Xenopus tropicalis: one gene and its partners. The protein of the gene in region 4 purifies or fractionates together with the protein of the main gene of each other region. This does not show direct contact. Links are inferred from orthologs where the notes say so. Each region holds a gene or a part of one and is shown on either strand. Other genes may lie near its edges. The genes, in order: pcna, rack1, arrb1 and igf1r.

The links.
Region 1: the proteins of igf1r (region 4) and pcna purify together in Homo sapiens (affinity purification with western blotting; 3 studies listed by BioGRID, with this or other methods). This does not show direct contact. The link is inferred for Xenopus tropicalis from reciprocal best matches to the Homo sapiens genes IGF1R and PCNA.
Region 2: the proteins of igf1r (region 4) and rack1 purify together in Homo sapiens (affinity purification with western blotting; 4 studies listed by BioGRID, with this or other methods). This does not show direct contact. The link is inferred for Xenopus tropicalis from reciprocal best matches to the Homo sapiens genes IGF1R and RACK1.
Region 3: the proteins of igf1r (region 4) and arrb1 purify together in Homo sapiens (affinity purification with western blotting; 3 studies listed by BioGRID and IntAct, with this or other methods). This does not show direct contact. The link is inferred for Xenopus tropicalis from reciprocal best matches to the Homo sapiens genes IGF1R and ARRB1.

What each region holds. Positions count from the first base shown.
Region 1 is NC_030679.2:123,021,983-123,026,656, reverse strand, and holds the start of pcna (proliferating cell nuclear antigen), read right to left. Parts: upstream 3,251-4,674; 5' UTR 3,134-3,250; coding exon 2,913-3,133; intron 1,853-2,912; coding exon 1,755-1,852; intron 970-1,754; coding exon 902-969; intron 541-901; coding exon 346-540; intron 121-345; coding exon 1-120. UniProt on the Homo sapiens protein: Auxiliary protein of DNA polymerase delta and epsilon, is involved in the control of eukaryotic DNA replication by increasing the polymerase's processibility during elongation of the leading strand.
Region 2 is NC_030684.2:71,557,264-71,561,831, forward strand, and holds the start of rack1 (receptor of activated protein C kinase 1), read right to left. Parts: upstream 3,143-4,568; 5' UTR 3,074-3,142; coding exon 2,965-3,073; exon of another isoform or gene 2,837-2,964; intron 2,478-2,836; exon of another isoform or gene 2,383-2,477; intron 2,208-2,382; coding exon 2,036-2,207; intron 1,672-2,035; coding exon 1,524-1,671; intron 1,338-1,523; coding exon 1,242-1,337; intron 208-1,241; coding exon 97-207; intron 1-96. UniProt on the Homo sapiens protein: Scaffolding protein involved in the recruitment, assembly and/or regulation of a variety of signaling molecules. Interacts with a wide variety of proteins and plays a role in many cellular processes.
Region 3 is NC_030678.2:175,782,613-175,787,247, reverse strand, and holds the start of arrb1 (beta-arrestin-1), read right to left. Parts: upstream 3,072-4,635; 5' UTR 2,728-3,071; coding exon 2,582-2,727; intron 1-2,581. UniProt on the Homo sapiens protein: Functions in regulating agonist-mediated G-protein coupled receptor (GPCR) signaling by mediating both receptor desensitization and resensitization processes.
Region 4 is NC_030679.2:114,969,979-114,974,828, forward strand, and holds the start of igf1r (insulin-like growth factor 1 receptor), read right to left. Parts: upstream 3,282-4,850; 5' UTR 1,913-3,281; coding exon 1,822-1,912; intron 1-1,821. UniProt on the Homo sapiens protein: Receptor tyrosine kinase which mediates actions of insulin-like growth factor 1 (IGF1). Binds IGF1 with high affinity and IGF2 and insulin (INS) with a lower affinity. The activated IGF1R is involved in cell growth and survival control.

The DNA of each region.
Region 1 (4,674 bases), about 8.1 Mb from region 4:
TGGGATATCTGCAGACATACTGAGTGTAACTGTTGGGGACAGGGGTGTAGCTTTGGTAAAGAAGTTCAGGTACCGCAAAGCAAATGTAAGCTGTACTGGCTCATTCATTTCTATTGTAACCTGGTAAACAAGAAAAAAAAAAAAAAAAAAAAACAATGGTCACTTCAAGTCTAACAAAGTTTTAAAGCTATGACTTGCTGTGGTCTTGTCTACTATTACTTGGGGTTGAAGGAAAGTGTACAACGTGGGAATTAACCAAGGGTCACACTGGGGGAACCTTGTCACATCTATATACAGTGGCACTATTACATTTCAAAATGACACTATAGGTTTTGAAACACTTACAGCTTCCTCCTCTTTATCCACATTTGAAGTTTGTGACAGCTTTACGTTTCCAGTGCCCAGCTCTCCACTTGCAGAGAACTTTACCCCATCCTTTGCACAAGAAATAACAACTGCGTCACCAATCTGGCTTAGATCTCTGCAGATGCGTGCAAATTCACCAGATGGCATCTTTATTACACAGCTGTACTCTTGTTCCTGTCATGAGAAACCAGACAATTTAGCAGAGTGCAATCCAAAATTAACTGCATTAGACAGGGTTACTTTAGACTGGCATAAGAGGTCACATAACTGCCATGGGTACAGAGGAAGGGGAGTTTCTACAAGCAGCATGTATATTACCCCCTTAGAACTTTGTGAAACCCCAAGACTGGAACTATAAAAACCAAAACAACTGAAGTGTACAAACTGAGTGTACACTGCTTTGGGTTTAAATTTTGCAATAACTAATAGACAATCAAAAAGTGTCCAGTTACGTTTTGAACAGTGATCCTAGCGAATCTGTTTTGTAAGCAGACAAAAATCAGCAACAACTTAAACATTAAAAAAATATACTTACAGGAATGCCCAGCTGCTCCACATCAAGGTCCATTAGCTTCATTTCATAGTCAGAAACTTTCTCTTGATCTAAATTAAAAACATTTAAGTTAAACTTAAGCAGAACAAAAACGTTGGGCAGAAATGCTTCACTGTTTGAGGTTCTGTACCAGCCCAAGGCAAACACGGCCCTTTAGCAGGGAAGATATGTGCCCTCAAATAGCTTCCACATCTTTTCTGCTGATTCACTGCCCATGCTCTGTGCTTAGGGACCGACAATATACTGTACATATATGGAATATAAACGTCACAAGATAAGGCTGAATAGTATTTCAGATTCTTATCACTGGCACCTTAAAAACCAGTGCAATTAGCATTAGAATTTAATAATGCCCTGTAATAGCTATGACAGAAACCTAGTTTTTTTTTTTTTTTAATGATTTACAACAACCCCTAAACTTCACTTCTAAACTGCACAAATATACAGTATATGCACACTAATTTAAAACATAAGCCTAATTTAATTTAATTTATTATCAGTAGTGACCAGTGCCTTCTGGATCAGAATTTAACATGGTTTGATGTCAGAAGGAAATTTTACAAGGCCACAAAAAGAGCCAAGATGGCTACCTGCTTTGTACAACTTTGAAGGCTGGTACAGTATAATCAGTAATTCAAGCATTTCTTGTTTCTATTTTAGCACAAATTAATCAAGATACTATAGTTATAAAAATCCATTAAAAAGTTCCATTACCTATAACTGTTTTAGCCCTGCCTTCCAAGCCAATGAAATAAGCACCAAGCTACTATAATAAAGAATTTACTTATTGGCATGAAGGGTATGAAAACCAAAGTGTAATGTTGCAAATACTCACTTGGCGACTCAAACACCATTGTAACTGTATCAGCATTGTCTTCTGCCCTCAGAGTAATGATATCTTCACTTGCAGCACACTTCAAGATCTTAGACATACTGTGAAAAAAAGTAAAGATAGATATATAGTTATATATAATGCCAAACAGGAGACTGGCAAAGGTAGACATCTTGGTAAGCAACCTGGGCATTTTACTCCAATGTATGTATGTATAACTTTATTTATAAAGCACCACAAGGGTACGCAGCTTACACACAGGGAGGACAAGATATATATATATATATATAGGAAGGAGGTCCCTGCCCCGTAGAGCTTACAATCCGAGTAAACCAGGGGCCCTGTCTAAGCAAGGCGGCACAAAAAAATCCCCATTGAAGGAGCTTTCCAACACTCCAGATGCATACAGCAGCGTATTCCTTTTACCTTTTTATATAGATTGTAAGCTATATGGGGCAGGGACCTCCATTCTCTTGTCTCTTTGACTCTTAACTTATTGCAGCTGTATCTTGTATTTATTGTTATACTTTGTATGTATCTATTATCTTAACCCCATTTGTATTAATGTATTTTACTGTACAGCGCTGAGTACATAAGTAGCGCTTTATAAAGATATACATAGAACCCATGAGGGCCCATTAAAGAAAAGACACTGAGCAGCTGTGGGCCTCAGTGAAGTGTAGGGGAAGTGTTAGACAAAGTGAGGCAACACTAAGGAAAATAATTTTATTTCGGTTCATTGATAAAATTCTTATTTTCCAACTATCCTGTGGCATTTGGATTAGAGTGGCCGCACTGCTGAAGCTTGGCACAATGAGCCGGTTTCCCGCCAAGCCGGCGGCTTTGTTGAAGTTGGCGCGTATGTGACGTCACGCGGGAAGCCAGGTTGCGCGCGCAATCACTGAGACTTGAACGGACAAGTCCATGACAGAGGCGGGGGGGGGGGGAGTAGATCGGCCAAGTCCATGACAGAGGGGGGGGGGAATATGTATGTATGGAATACATATTTGCGCCAAATACAATAAAATGAGAGCGTGTATCGCGCTACGTGTACCCAATAGTAAAGTCTGGACGCATTAAGCCTGCCGCACTAGCCCGTCCCTTCAACTAGTGATCTCCGCAGTGCTGCGCACTTACTAAGCGCCCACATAGCTTCCTTACCTGCTCATCTTGACGCCGATGGATTGATTGCGATCGCACCTGTAGGTGTCAAAGCCGTCCGATCGCAGAGTGAGCTGCACCAACGAGACGTGCGAGGAGTCCATGCTCTGCAAGCTGATGCCGCTCGATGTGATGTCCCAGCACGCCTCATCGATCAGGTCCTTCAGGGCCTCCAGCACTTTCTTCAGGATGGAACCCTGCACCAAGCGAGCTTCAAACATGGTGACGGCTGTACGGAGCTGGGGGAAAGAGAGAAGTGTGCCGGGGGTGCAGATGGCGGAGCTCAGTAGCTGAATTCCCTAGTACCTCTGTGGTACCTCCTCCCAACTGAAGCTCCGGCGCCAAAATGAGCCCGCCAGCCGGCCTTCCGCCGCTTATATTATAGTGGTGATGTCACTATACGAATGTAAGGCGCCAAAATTATGACCCGCCCCCTCATATCTTTCCTTGTGCAGTCAGTCCCTGTCACTGAAACACCATGGTCTCCGTTATATAAGCTTTGCTTGTGCCCCATTATGAACTCTACACCTAATAAATATGAAAAATAAATATAAATAACTGTAATTTGTTGGATTAGCTATACTAGTTCTGGTCAGTGACAACAGACCCAAAGGACATTTAGTTACTGGGGCCCTGAAAATGCAGAAAGGATGGGGTCATTAATTTTTTTATATATTAAACCGCAGACATATTAGTTCTATGTTTTACATTTTTTACTATCATGCCCCATTACACCTCCAATCACTCTCTACCACCTTTACTCCCTACCCCAGGGCTGCCACCTGAGCCCAAAATTTTACTGCCCTGGCCTGTAAAAATAATGCTTGATGCCAATGTAATTAATGGTGGAGATATAAATATAGGAATGCATGCTGCGAAGGCCAGAATACTTGCAAAATTATAGGGCCCATTCATTAAACCACAATCTTTTTGTTTTTGAGAAAAAATCTTATTCTTTCTAATTTGTAGAACTTTTCACAATGTCCACAATAATTTTGTTAAAATTCCATGACTTTTTCATGGTTTTCGTTAACTTCTACCAAAAAGTTGGAAAGACTACAACCATTTCGGAATTCAATTTGGTAAACTATCTTACTATCTTTTGGCCAGGTTGGATCTGTGCCATTGAGTCCTATGGAAGACTATGAAAGCCAGAAAGGTTTTCACACTGTTTACGAACGTTCAGATCCGAAAATTCGGAACGCAACCACGATATTTTCGTACGAGAAAAGAATTTTTGTGGTTACTCCGAATTTTTTCCAATCATGATTTTAACCACCCAAAAATCATGGTTTAATGAATTAGCCCCTAAGTGTTCCAGCCTTGTTTGTAGGCCAAAAAACAAAAGCTCTACTGCCCCAGAACAGCCAGTGTTGAAGCTCAAATGGACTCAGGGTTAAGTAAAATCCCCTGAGGCTCTGTGAGTACTACCATCCACAAGATCAAAAAATTGCACCATCTGCAAGATCAAGGCACAGCCAATATATTGTGACTGTCACCAGAACGAATATAGGTCTTGTATTAAATCAGACACAGACTTTTTGGAGCAATTTGTTTGGATTCGTAACATATTCTTTGTAAATTACATTTTGAGGCTTCACTCATCCTTATGCAGCATCCTACAGACTGCTGTTGATCATTGCTGTTGTAAACCCATTCTAACTAATCTGGTTAAGGGAAAGTCTTATGGTGGCCATACACATTACAATTATAATCTTTCCTGCAACCATTGGTCATACCCTCCTCTATCATTCAGAGCTGA
Region 2 (4,568 bases), on a different chromosome or scaffold from region 4:
AGCTTGCAAACTGCATGCTCAATTCATCCTATTCAAAAACTAATGCCTCATAACCATTCTAGTCCAACTACTTCTCTATCAAGTGACGTTTCGTACCTTGCCTCCAGAAGCACACAGAGACCCATCAGGTGACACCGTAACAGTGTTCAAGTAACCACTGTGACCAATGTGGTTGGTCTTCAGTTTGCAATTGGCCAGATTCCAGACCTGAAATAAGAAAAGTCATTTAGAATACAACTATAGGCTACTGGAATCCAAGGATGTGTACACAGAAAAAAAAGATTAAATGCACTATGTACATATCCACAGATGTTAAACTATGGAGAGAAAGATTTCATATAGTAAACAACCTGTACCATATGGTATTCTTAAAAAGGTGCAAGAGGATACTGGCCATGACTTGGTAGGGTAGTTTGGCCAATTTTGACCATATGGGCCTACTTTGTGTGCCTATATAGCCAATACAAAAGGATGGGGGGGGGGGGGGGGGGAAGATAAATAATTCCATGATTCTGGTAGATCAAGGATCAGCAGTCCTCATGGCCAATTTCCAGTCAGCCAGAAGGGAAGCAGCAACTCTGCAATTTGTCTAATTTGTTCAGTGTCGACACTGAATAGAAAAAAAAGCCACACATGTACTGCCACTACAATATTCATTCATCACTCAAATGCTGTGTCTGGTAGGCCCATGTATGGGGGCTGAAAGCAGAGCTGCAAGATTAACTACAGAAGTAGGGCATAATTATTTTTACATTATGTGTTTTGCGCTTTTGTAACAGCCCTAGGAAATCATAGCCCTTTAGAAGTAATGTGCCCCAGTAGCTTCCCATCTTTTCTGATGATTCACTGCACATGTTCTGTTCTGTTCTGTTTCCCGAGCTTAGAACTATTGACAGGCTAGAAAATTTGCGACAACCCCTAGACTTAGCATCTCAACTGCACACTGAGCACGAGTGTCACCGACACTAATAAAATCCAAGATGGGGAGTTCCCGTGACAACTGCAGAAGACCTGAACATTCAGTATATAAAAGTGGGCATCTCTAGCCACTTATTTTCAGGGCTTAGTTCTTAGTACTTGTTTAAGAGGGGTCAGTAGTGCACTATTTAAAGGGGGAGTGAAAACGCTTTAAAGCTGCTTAACACTTTACTTACCAAACAAGTATGCATTTAAAAAAAAAAAAAAAAAAAAAAAAAAAACTCTGAACCCGTATTAAGACTGGAGGCATCCAAAATACTCACCTTCACCATCTTGTCCCAGCCGCAGGATACAATGATGGGATTACTGCTGTTAGGGGAGAACCGGACACAGGACACCCATTCAGTATGTGATTCCTCCTAAGAAAGACAGCTTCATTAGTAAACAGCCTGCCAAAAGACCTAGAATGACTGTTTATTTGGTCCCTTCATAATTGCAGGAGTGTCATCCTGAAATTAGTGTGCCTATATTAGACACTCAGAATACAATTGTTCTAATCACGTGGACCAACAGAACTAAAATATAGTTATAACGCTCATACATACCTGCACAGTGTATTTACAAACGCCTAAAGTGTTCCACAGCTTGATTGTTTTGTCACGGGATCCAGACACAATTTGCCGGTTGTCAGCAGAGAAAGCGACACTCAGGACATCTTTGGTGTGTCCTACAAACCGGCGTGTGGTGGTGCCACTGCAGAGGGATATTTGACACGATGACAAAATGACAGTATCCATTCCCCTCAGAACACTCCTTTCTGTGCCACCCTGCAGGGGGAGGGACAGATTCATAGCTTCCCTCTACCTAGGTTACTATTTAACTGGTCCTTTGTCATATGCTTCCCCTGCAGGGATATTCTGGTCTGACAGTAAGTGGACTCAAATGATTCTTAATGCTAAAGTTAGTCCAGTCATTCCTTCTATCCAAGTAATAAGTCAAATTCTGTAGTACTGAAACCATGTCTAATTCCCTGCTGCTGATCAGTAACTTTTGCTGAACATTCTGAAAAGCAGCCATTTAACAGGCCAGGTAATGGAACAAGGATAAGTGTACTCACGTTGTAAGATCCCACAGTCTGAGTGTTCCATCCCAGGATCCTGAGAGAGCGAACTGCCCATCTGAAGAGATAACCACATCACTGACAAAGTGGGAGTGACCCCGGAGAGCACGTTGTGGAACCCCATAGTTTGTTTCATCACGAGTCAGCTTCCACATGATGACAGTCTTATCTGTGCAGAGAGGAAAAAAAAAAAAAAAAAAAAGTCAAAGGACATAAGAACACTATTGCTGATTTAAATAAGTGGTAACCTCAACTTCTATGCAGTAAACCTCCAACAAGGCAGTTCCACACAGGGGTAACCCTCCCAAAATAAACCATGCCATCACAGCGAAGCCATGCCATACCTTGTCATTGGTCTACGGTGTCTCATTTTATGTCTGTAAGCAGGTGAAGATGTTTTTCCTTTGCACAACCCAAACTGCCAGAAGAATGAGGTTATCTAGTATGCAAGAAAAATGAAGACATGAGATGTGCAAAGAAAAAACACTTCCACCACTGCTCATACAACTCTATGGCATTGTCAGCCTGCAAATTCTTCAGTACCAAGGGCTAAGGAACAAAGTTCTAGCAAACAATAGCTGCCACTATACATCATATATCGCTCACACCATAATTAAAAGGTAAGTTAGCCCGCAAAATCTACCACCATCTTTCCCTTGCTAATCAAAACGACAGATAAAGAAAAGCTTCATTATAGTTAGGACTTCCAATGACGCATAATGAATGAGGAGCCATTTTAGCCCCGATACAGTAACATATCACACAGCGACACTAAGTAGTTACAGCAATCACATTTACCAGGGCTGAAAAAAGCAACGTGTAAGCATTCATGCTCTTGTTCTAACGATAAACGGGGTCCCGGATACCGCAATGCATATAAACTTGCGTGGATCGATAGGCTACAGTAGGCGTCTCATGCATCTCACCTCTGGAAGAGCTGAGAATCATGTCCGGGAATTGTGGGGTAGTCGCGATTTGCGTGACCCAGCCATTATGGCCCTTTAGGGTCCCCCGAAGTGTCATTTGCTCAGTCATGGCTGCGATGAGTCCGAAACCGCTCCACCGGCAAAGGATGGAGACAGATGGTAGACACCGGGCCTAAAGCGACCGAAGAGAGGCTGAACTAGGCCTCGCCTCGCCTTTTATACAAAGCGGCGTCCTGACGTAAGCGCGCTGCGCCGCCTTGCGTCAGGACGCCTTTACCCGGATGCATTACTTGTTTACATCACCAGAAACGAGTTTCAACATGGCAGCGAGTTGCAGAATGTCGTACAGTGCAACTTAGGCTAAAAAATCGCGCTACTTTAAAATCTTTTAAAACAAGACAAAAAAAGAAAATATGAATGACAACGTGAATTCCAAGCATAGGTATAAGCGCTAGAACAGAATTGGCTATTAAATCAACTGGTGACTACTTTCCCTGTCAAATAGAGAAATCGCGGGGATAGGCTGACCGTACGCAGGCTAGTTTGCGTTCTGATTGTAGCACACGTGAGAGGGTTCCCATGCTTATATGACTGTGTGCTGGCGCCATATTGGTTGTGGAATGTTAGCTGCCGTAAGTGTGGAACACGCACATCTTGGATATATTGTTGTTTAAAACGTAACTATCATGAGGATACTGGGCGGCAGGCATAAGTAGTTTTTTTTTGTCATAAACAGGAAATAAAACATTAGAAACATTAAAAGTGCTTCAAAACATGCTTTACATGTATTATATTAGTCAGTGCCCCACTGGGTCTCTTTCACCACTGGGGAATCTCCTTTATAGAGTTATCTCTGTTTGTAGGGGTACCTTTTGGCATTATAGTCCACACCTTGCGCCCTGCTCCTTACTCCCCCACCTGAACTAGGGCAGGGACACTGCAGTATCTCCTGCACTGAACAATTTCCTTATAAAAAAAAAAAAATTCTGCTCTTTAAGCCACACGCAGCCTATGGCAAAGTTCTCACTATTTTTGATTGAACCAAACTGTAAACTGGGATTGAAACCACCATTAAAGGAGAACTATAGCCCCCAACAATGTAGGTCTCTACAAAAATATATTGCATAAGCAAGCTCATACGTAAAACCCTGCTTCATCTAAATAAACCATTTTCATAAAAATAGACATTTTTAGTAGTTTGTGCTATTGCGTAATCATAAATAGAAAATTGCCATTTTAAGAATTAAGGGCCACCCCCTGGGATCATAGGATTCACAGTGCACACAAACAAGCCAAGGCACACATACATGCTAGGCCCCATCAGCCAATGAATAGACAGGGTTCTGTCTTTAACTCCCACACTACTTCCTGTTACGGTTAGAGCTGGGCAATATTTACTGATATATATATATATTCCATTTTGGTGAGATTACTAGGTCACTTAAAATTATATAAACTATCTGTTGGTTAAGTATTCATTCTGGGGGTATAGTAGGGCGGCCCATGCTGCACATTACTAATTGTAACATACCTCTTAAATTTCAAGACAATGTAAAATCTAAAATGAAAAAAATGCCTTTGTTGGGCAATCACCAGGAATTCCA
Region 3 (4,635 bases), on a different chromosome or scaffold from region 4:
TGGTAACCTAATAAATGCACTCATATGACTGGCGGGGGGGCAAAGGCTCACCTGGGGGGGCAGTTATATAACAACTGGTTGGACTCCCCCTGTGCCCCCCTAATGGCCATGTCCCAGCCACTCCTGATTATTCCCTGACCATGTACTCTCATTGGCTCACCCAAGGTTAAAGGGGATACAAACCCTGCTGCCCAGCGCGGCTCAACCCAACGTTACTCAGTTGTTACTGGGCTACAAATCCCACAATAATGTAACATATAATGAAGCTTGGGGCATGCTGGGAGCTGTAGTCCAGCAACATCAGGGCTGTATTCTTAAAGCAATATTGCACAATAAAACTTTCCCCCAAATCCCCACAGCCAGCGACTGCTTTAACATGCGAAAAATCCTCCAATGAGAATCCCAGCTGATGTGAGTAAATCCGGCTCCCTGTTCTCTGTTCCTGCAATTGGAGTTGGGAGCAATAAGCACAGTTTCCCAGCACTGAACAAGTCTGTCCCTTTATCCCCATGTCTGATTCCTGTGCCATATAATGAGGGGAGAAAATGCCATCATTATCTCTATATGTAAGGTACCAGCAAGGGGCCTGACACAGTGCTGGGAATCAGCATTCTCACTGGGCAGTTCTTTTGCATTTATAATCAACTTATTTATCAGTACAATTCTCATTGGGGAATTTCCTTGCATCTGTAATGATGGTTTTTGGCAGCTTCTATAGCAAAACTAGGGGGCGCCGTGGGGCAGCATCATGGCTGGGTTTATATCACCATTAAATATACGGGGGGCAAAAATGCAGGATATTTGGCAGGTCCGACAGATGACTGGGCCACATGCTATCAGCAGGGCTTTCCCCACAATGGAGCCTGGGTTATTAGCCCCCCCGCCCACACACAGGCCCTGAGCCCTAGAATCCATGTAACCAAGGCTAGGTACATACATAGCAAAACCCCCAGTCTGCCCTGTTACCCTCTTACCTGCCCAGACCCCTGCCCATCTCACCAGCAAACCCTGTACCTTTTGCAGTCCTATGACAATGGCTATGGCCCCGTCCCTGCACTGTGATTGGGCCCCAGACCAGTCACCCCCCTCCCCTGCTGCTGAGTCCTTAATTGCACCCAGAAAGATACAAGTCACAGGGCCAATGGGCTCCCAGACTTCGAATAGAGGTTTTGGGAGCCCAATTATAGCACCCATGGGTGCCTGGTTATACAACTACAGCCTTGGATGGTATTAGAGCACCTAAATATCCAGGTCACTTCCAGTTGCCCCGGATTGGGCCAGCGGATAAGGAAGGTAATTACCCCAAAGGCTTCATTGCTCAGCCAAAGCGCCTTATATATTTATCCCACTCTCCCTAACGCTAATCCTCTTATCAGCCCTAATCTAATTATATGACCCCCACCCCCCCCCCGCCAGATTGCACATCCCACTGTCACTCAGCCAATGAATTGCCTCCATTGTGCTCTTGGGAACCAATGACCCATTGCTCTGTGCGGCCACAGTTTTATTGTTACAGCTCTGTAACTTTTCTTTCTATTCAGTCCCACTTCTATTCGTATCCCAGTCTCTCATTCCAACCACTGCCTGGTTGCTAAGATAATTTGGACCCTATCGACCATATAGCTGCTAAAATGCCAAGAGCCCCATTAAATGACATTATTGGCCGCACTATTGTGACGTCATTTCTGTATTCCAAGAGCTTCCCAGTGACACAAGTCCTTTAGGGGTTACGTGCCCAATGGGTTCCACTGGGAATGAGGTGCCAGTGCACAAAGGGTGCAAACTCTATACCAGAACAGGGCAGGGTTGTGCCAAGTTACGGGGCCCCCCTGCAGCCTATTACATATTTCTACATTTCATAGCATCCCCCCCCAGTTACAGCCTGTACACCTACCATCATCTTGCCTTACTATACACATTATGCCATAGTTAGAGCCCCTTCTCCTGGCACTGTAGCCCCTATGCCGAGTGCCATCTTGCCTACTATACACATTATGCCATAGTTAGAGCCCCTTCTCCTGGCACTGTAGCCCCTATGCCGAGTGCCATCTTGCCTTACTATACACATTATGCCATAGTTAGAGCCCCTTCTCCTGGCACTGTAGCCCCTATGCCGAGTGCCATCTTGCCTACTATACACATTATGCCATAGTTAGAGCCCCTTCTCCTGGCACTGTAGCCCCTATGCCGAGTGCCATCTTGCCTTACTATACACATTATGCCATAGTTAGAGCCCCTTCTCCTGGCACCACCTTACCTTATTCTGCACACTGTCCAGCACTGTAGCCCCTATGCCGAGCCCCATCTTGCCTTACTATACACACTATACTACAGTTACAGCCAATCCCTGAGGGTCCCTTTGCATACAGCTTGGGGGCCACACAAACTGCAGGGCACTAAAGGCAGCCCGGCCACAGAAAGAGGGGGCACTGCAAGCACCGGGCATTAAGGGGAATAACAGTGGGATTTGCTCATTAGAGGTAACACCCCGGGGGTCATGTTGGCACGAGGGGGCATCGCTGTGGGTGATTCCTTGTGCCCAGTCCGACACACATTGTGCCACAGACCTGTCCTTACTCACAGAAATACGTTCTCCATTGGCGCGGCCTTGTGGGCTTCCAGCTCCCCACAGCGGATTCCCAGCGGTGCCACCACGCAAGCAGGAACCGACTCCTCCAATACGGTTCTGATCCTTAGGTACGGGCTGTCAATCCACATGTAATCCATCTAGGCACCGGCATCACTGCAGCCCTGCCAGCCAGCGAGGTGTGCGACGGTCCCTTCCCTCTCAGCTCTCTCCCCCCCACTGATTCCTTTATTCTCTCCAATGGCAGCGACTACCCACGGGCTGGAATCTCAGCCGCTCTCTCGCTCTCTCGCTCTCTCTCAATCCAAGCAGCTGCATCAAAATTCTCCCATTTACTGTGTTATGCCCTGCGTGCAAGTCTGATTGGCTCGTGTCGTCATCGGCAGTACAGCGTGCCGCGGGCACAACACCAGCATATCAAATCTCTGCAGCCTCCCGCGGGTATGGGTGAGACCCTCCCCAGCCAGCGGGAATGCAGAGACAGAGATAGGGGGCCCAAATATTCCCCCCAGCAAAATGGCAACAGCAAGATACAATGGGGATTGTAAGATATGATGGAGACAGTGGGATAGGAAGAATGGTAAGATAGGGCAATGGTCAATAGGGCAAGAGGGCGACAGTAGGTCATGATGGAGACAGTAGGGCAAGATGGGGACAGTAGGACAAGATGGAGGCAGTAGGGCAAGATGGAGACAGTAGGGCAAGATGGAGACAGTAGGGCAAGATGGAGACAGTAGGGCAAGATGGAGACAGTAGGGCAAAATGAAGACAGTAGGGCAAGATGGGAGACAGTAGGGCAAGATGGAGACAGTAGGGCAAGATGGAGACAGTAGGGCAAGATGGAGACAGTAGGTCAGGATAGAAGCAGTGGGAAATGATGGAAACAGGACCAAAATAAAGAAAGTATGGCAAGATGCTTTAAAGGTGAATTAGCTTTGCTTGTACAACATATTTCCCAGGGCAGCCCAGTAAGCAGGGTTCCTATCTCTGCTGTTGGAATTAGAGTGTAGGCCTGGGGGAGAGGTGCATGTAGTCAGGACCAGAAACAGGCAAAATAAACAAAACAAAACACAATTCAAATAATAGAATACTTTGCCTTTAAATCATACAAATACAAAAACACATACAAGAGTATTATAAAAACAAAACCCCAAGTCTGGATGTGGGCCAAAAGCATCAATCTCTGGAGAAAATAGAGAAATAAATTCCGTTGAGGGGTTTGGGAATAGTCAGGGCGAGTGAACGTAAGGTCACAATCCATGGAGATGAATGTCTGGTTTATATTTTGGGAATAAAATCAAAGCCGCTAAATGTCATCCAAACGGGGAAACTATGGAGAGATATGCTGAAGTAAATTCAGCAAAAGAGCTCAGTGCCAGGCAGTGACTGCAAAAGCCAACAACAACTTCTGTTCCACATGCCATGGAGTTTTGCCCATAAATGCCATGTTGTGAGGCCTGGTCTAGTACACGGAAGGTATAAGCACCTTTGGGTGTCACCCCAGAAGGACCACCCAAAGGGAAACTATGGAGAGATATGAAAATAACACAGAAAAATACTCAGCAGAAGAGCTCAGTGCCAGGCAGTGGCTGCAAAAGCCAACAACAACTTCCGTTCCATATGCCATGGAGTTGTGCCCATAAATGCCATGTTGTGAGGCCTGGTCTAGTACGTGGTATAAACACCTTTGGGTGTCACCCCGCAAGGACCACCCAAAGGGAAACTATGGGGAGATATGAAAATAACTCAGAAGTAAACTAAGCAGAGGAGCTCAGTGCCAGGCAGTGGCTGCAAAAGCCAACAACAACTTCCGTTCCATATGCCATGGAGTTGTGCCCATAAATGCCATGTTGTGAGGCCTGGTCTAGTACGAGGAATAAACACCTTTGGGTGTCACCCCGGAAGGACCACCCAAAGGGAAACTATGGAGAGATATGAAAATAACTCAGAAGTAAACTCAGGAGAGGAGCTCAGTGCCAGGCAGTGGCTGCAAAAGCCAACAACAACTTCCGTTCCATATGCCATGGAGTTGTGCCCATAAATGCCAT
Region 4 (4,850 bases):
TCTTGGTGTGTGCTTCTAGCTCACGGAGTGGATCGGCAGAGTCTTTGGACAGGGTTCTGCTAGTAATACAATAACTGACACCGATTATTGAGATGCTACAGATACACAAAGCTCAACAGATTAACATAGCTCTGCCTATCCCCCATTGTATTTCTCAATCACAGTCATTAAAAGCCAAGCACTGGGAGAGAAAACACATGTAAAATTAGTTCTTAGTGTTATTTTTTATATTTGGGTAATTCTTATACTCCTCCCATCCAAAATGGAAAACACAAACATGAGAAAGTATTTAACACTTGCCTACAGCCGTCTCCTAAACAAGGTGCCTGAGACGGTAACAAATCTTGGCATGGACCACACAATTTGGGACAGGCATAAAAAATAAACTAAAGGGGAAATAGAAGGGAGGGAAGAAATCAAGATTTAATCACCTGTAATAATTGTTTTTATATCTTTGCCAACACTTATCGGGGACTGGTGCAGCATGATGAAGTTTTCCCCATATATTTATCTATCTCTGCACATAGGTGCTTAATGTGTTACATATATGCTACCAGCCCCTGTATCATTATAGCCATTGCATGGTTTTGATAAGAATAATCTTGGGTGCATAGAAGTCATAACGACTGCAACTTTGTGTCAGTGGAGAGGTTGCTGGATGCAAGCATCATGGTGCATCAGTTGCCGACAACATAAAAAAACAGTAACTAAACTAGTGGGTAAAAGGTTAAACTGTCACATCCTTGAGGTGAAGTCTTATATACATGTTACTGCATCTCCCAAGCAATATCACTCAGTAGCACCAATACTTACAGTACAAACAGTGTGGACTAGAATGCAACTAGATGCATGAGAATCTCAAACTTCAGACCTGTCATAAAAATCTGAGACATAAGGGCAAGTCCACGGTCCTTCTCCACAGAAAGCCCAAACTACCCATACCGAAGCAGGGATGGGCCACTGCTGCCTGGCTACACAAGCCAGCATGACCTGAGATTTATAGGATGGCTACAATTCCAATGATGAGCTTACAAGTTATCAAAACAGTGGCTGCATTTACTGCAAACGAGCGACTGAAATCAGGGGAAGGGCAATAGTTATTCAACAGCTCCCATTGGAATGCTGGTATCTGTAGTCCAACAGAAGCAAGTTTGGAGATTTCTAGACTACAGCACCAAGCTGTATAATATTTAAAATGTGCTGCAGCAGCATTGGGAGAGATTGGTACCTGAAGCATGGAGATGGGAGCTATGCAGCGTGTGTGGTTATCCATTAGTGCAACGCACATGCAGTTATGAGACGAGAGTGTGCAGTCTGAGCAAGTCACTCGCATCCATACAATTCCCCACACAACAGATGAAGATGAGAGAGGAAAGAGAGACCCAATGCTGATGTACACTCAGATGCCAAAACATTTAGCAGGAAGGGGGCAATGATGTCCAACCTGCAGTTATTCGGCTGTTGTGGACTACAGCTCCCAGCATTCTCCCACACACACACACAAAAGGCTGCAGATTGGGCATCCCTGGTGCTGCACATTGGGAGCTTAGGGACACTGACAGCTCATATCTCTAATACTGGAATGATTGATGGCTCTCTGGGGCCCCTAAAGGCCAACACTGAGGGGAGCTGCGTACTAGTAATGGGGAAACAACAGCAGGTGGGATTCGGGCCAAAGAGTAGAGAAAGTGCGGCCCCAAATCTTTGCTCCCCACTGATGCGCACCACAGCAGCCATACGTGCAGCCTGACGCAGCGACACTTCCCACACTGCGTGGGAGCCCCATGTGCCCGGGGTACCGGGGGGCTACAGGACACTCACCTCTCCCAGCCGACGGTCCCAGGCACAGAAGGAGGAGGACGAGGACCCCCGGGATCCAGGCCGTACAAGCAGGCACCAATCCGGCCTTCATGTCCACAAACAAGTCCCCGCGTACAGCCCACTCAGGGAATCCGAGGAAATGCTCATGCACTCTGCCAGGAACTCCCCCCTGGCCCGGAATAACAAAAATGGCGCCGCCGGTCCTTTCTACCTGGACCACAAGCCCTGGAATTCCCGGGTCACCTTGCTCTGGAACCTGCTTGGATCGTGAAACGTGGATTATTGAGCGGACTGGCCAAGTTGTACTGGCAGAGCAGCGGCCGGCACCAACTCCAGGGGGAGCCCCTGAGCTCCACAGTTCCCCCCCTCCCCACTGCCCTGACTGATAGGCAGAGGGACAAGGGGGTTACTTGGGGTTCTCTGGCAGCTACGAAACAGGCGCCGCCCACTACGAGGAATTGGGCCCCGTTATCCAATGGGTTTCTTCGCTCTTGTTACTCTGCGTATCTCCCCTACTCCCCGGTGGCAGTATATCCCTGGCCTGAGGGGGCGCTATGAAATCCGCCTGATGCTGGGTAAATCCAAGGGTAAGTGTGCGGCTCCTCAGTCCCGCAGGGTAACGTGTATCTCCCCGGCGCACAGTGTGTCAGTCCCGCCGCTGGAACCGGCCGCACGGAGGAAGCTGATGGGAGAAACCCGAAGCCCGCACCTCGCCCTCCTCTCCCTCCATGTCAGCCCCGGGCACAATCCGCTATCCCACGGCAGGAGGCCGCTGCACACCCGCCGGACCAATGAATGGAGGAGAGTATCTCGGCCCGCCCGACTCGCCGCCGTCCGAGCGATTCTCTTCAGCCCTAGGATAAAGCCCGAGAGGCTTAAAGCTGCGTACGGGCTGCTCTCCCGCTGCTTGCCGTCCGTGTGTAGGGATCCCCGGGCCGCCGCCGCCACCGAGCCTCTCTCATTGGGATCTCCTCTCAGTGTGTGTGTGTGTGCGCGGCGCTAATGCTGTAAACAAGAGCCTGAGCCGCACACTCTCTCTCTCTCTCTCTCACACACGCACAGACTCACACACTGGGCTGTCTGCAAAGCCAGGACTGGGGAGCTACTCCCGCTGCACTGGACTCGCCCGGGAATCCAATACTGCGCTCAGGCATTGCCTCCCCACTCACCCATCTACTCACTCCTCATAGTCAGTACAGGCATCCCTTATCCCCACATACTAGCGCCAGGCAGCTTCCTAGTGCGTAATAACAACAACAACAACATACTACTTCTTCTGGGGGCATTTCTCATTTGTTCATATATATATTATATTATTTATACACCTAACATCCAAAAACATTGGTATATAATTATATGTGTTTATAGAGACAATAGGTAAGAGAGCATACATGATGGCCCTTATACTACCATGAAATTAAAATGTATAATTGGTGGGGTAAAATTAAAACAAATTACTAAACCTTATTTAGTTATTATTATTTATAATGTTCTATGAGTAATGATCCCATGGCCCATTGGTACTGATCTTGTGGTACCTGATGACACAGGCTTTGTTTACCCTCCATCAGGGCTCAGCAATAAGGGCTGCACTACTGTGTAGGTGCTTCCGTTTAGATAGCCCTTGTGCTGGCGACTTTACTGTTTGTCGTTTGAGGGGACAATAGCATGAAAATAAGATTTCAATAAGTGGCGTTCTGCCACATTTTAATCAATCAAAGCGGCTTTCATTCACCAACTGACCAAAAGGATGTCGGGTAAAAAATTAGAGGGATTCTGTCAAGGGAAAATATGTTTTTGGGGTTTTTTTTTCCAAAATGCATCAGTTAATAGAAATTCACCAGCAGAATCCTGCATTGAAATCCACTTTTCAAACATTTGTATATTTACTTTTGAAATTTCACATGGGGCTAGCCATATTCTTCATTTCCCAGGGTGCCACAGCCATGTGTCCTGTGATTTGATAAACTTCAGTCACACTTTACTGCTGAGCTGCAAGTTGGAGTGATATCACTTCCCTTCCAGCAGCGATCAGCAAAACAATTGGGAGGGAGCAAGATAGCAGCTCCCAGTAGGTATCAGAATAGCACTCAATAGTAAGAAATCCAAGTCCGGCTTGGGACTCCTCCAGTTACATAGGAGTAGGAGAAACAATAGGTTACCTGAAAGCAGTTCTAATGTGTAGCTCTGGCTCCTTCTGAATGTTCAGACTCAGGTGGCGCCTACACACCAGTATTACCAGTATTACAGCTAAAAAATATACATTTATTTGTTCAAAAATGCAATTTTAAATCGTAGAATGGATTATTTGCAATGTGAACAGTGTAATATAGTAATAAAACTATATCATAAGGGTGAAGACACACTGAGCTAGTAGTAGCAGCTACTTTTTCACAGCTACTAGACTCCTAACAATACTGAGAATTGCCTCTGCTAAAGCACACGTAGAGAAATTATCAGTAAATGATCAGCATTGTCTATTTTTGTAGCCACGTAAGTAGTTACTACTAGTAGCTCAGTGTGTCTTCATCCTAAAAGTCATGACAGAATCCCTTTAACTTTATCCATTTAAAAGCATCACGCCTGATGCGTTTCATGTGCACTTAATCATAGACACAATAAAAACCCAAGAAGGTACAAAGTTTAAATAAAAGTAAAATAATTACCTTGCAAGACCACATCGCAAGCGTTAATAAATTAACCCATTGTGTTTTGTATGAAAAAAAAAATGACAGGTGATTACAAAGGGATAAACATAGCTAATCATTACATACTACTGTGTAAGTGCTCTAAATAACTCTTGTGCTGGAGATTTTATGTTATTTTTAGGAGAAAGTTGCATGAAAATAAGCGTTCAGTCAGTGGCATTCTGCCACTTTAAAACAAAACTTACATTCAGGACATATTTACTCTTTAAGGCAGGGATATTTAACTTTGTTAGGGGACAAGAAAGCATTTGGAGCTGTAGCTCAACACGAGACGCAGGCTTGGGCTAACTTGTACATTGAGAGTAATCCAAACAACAACAG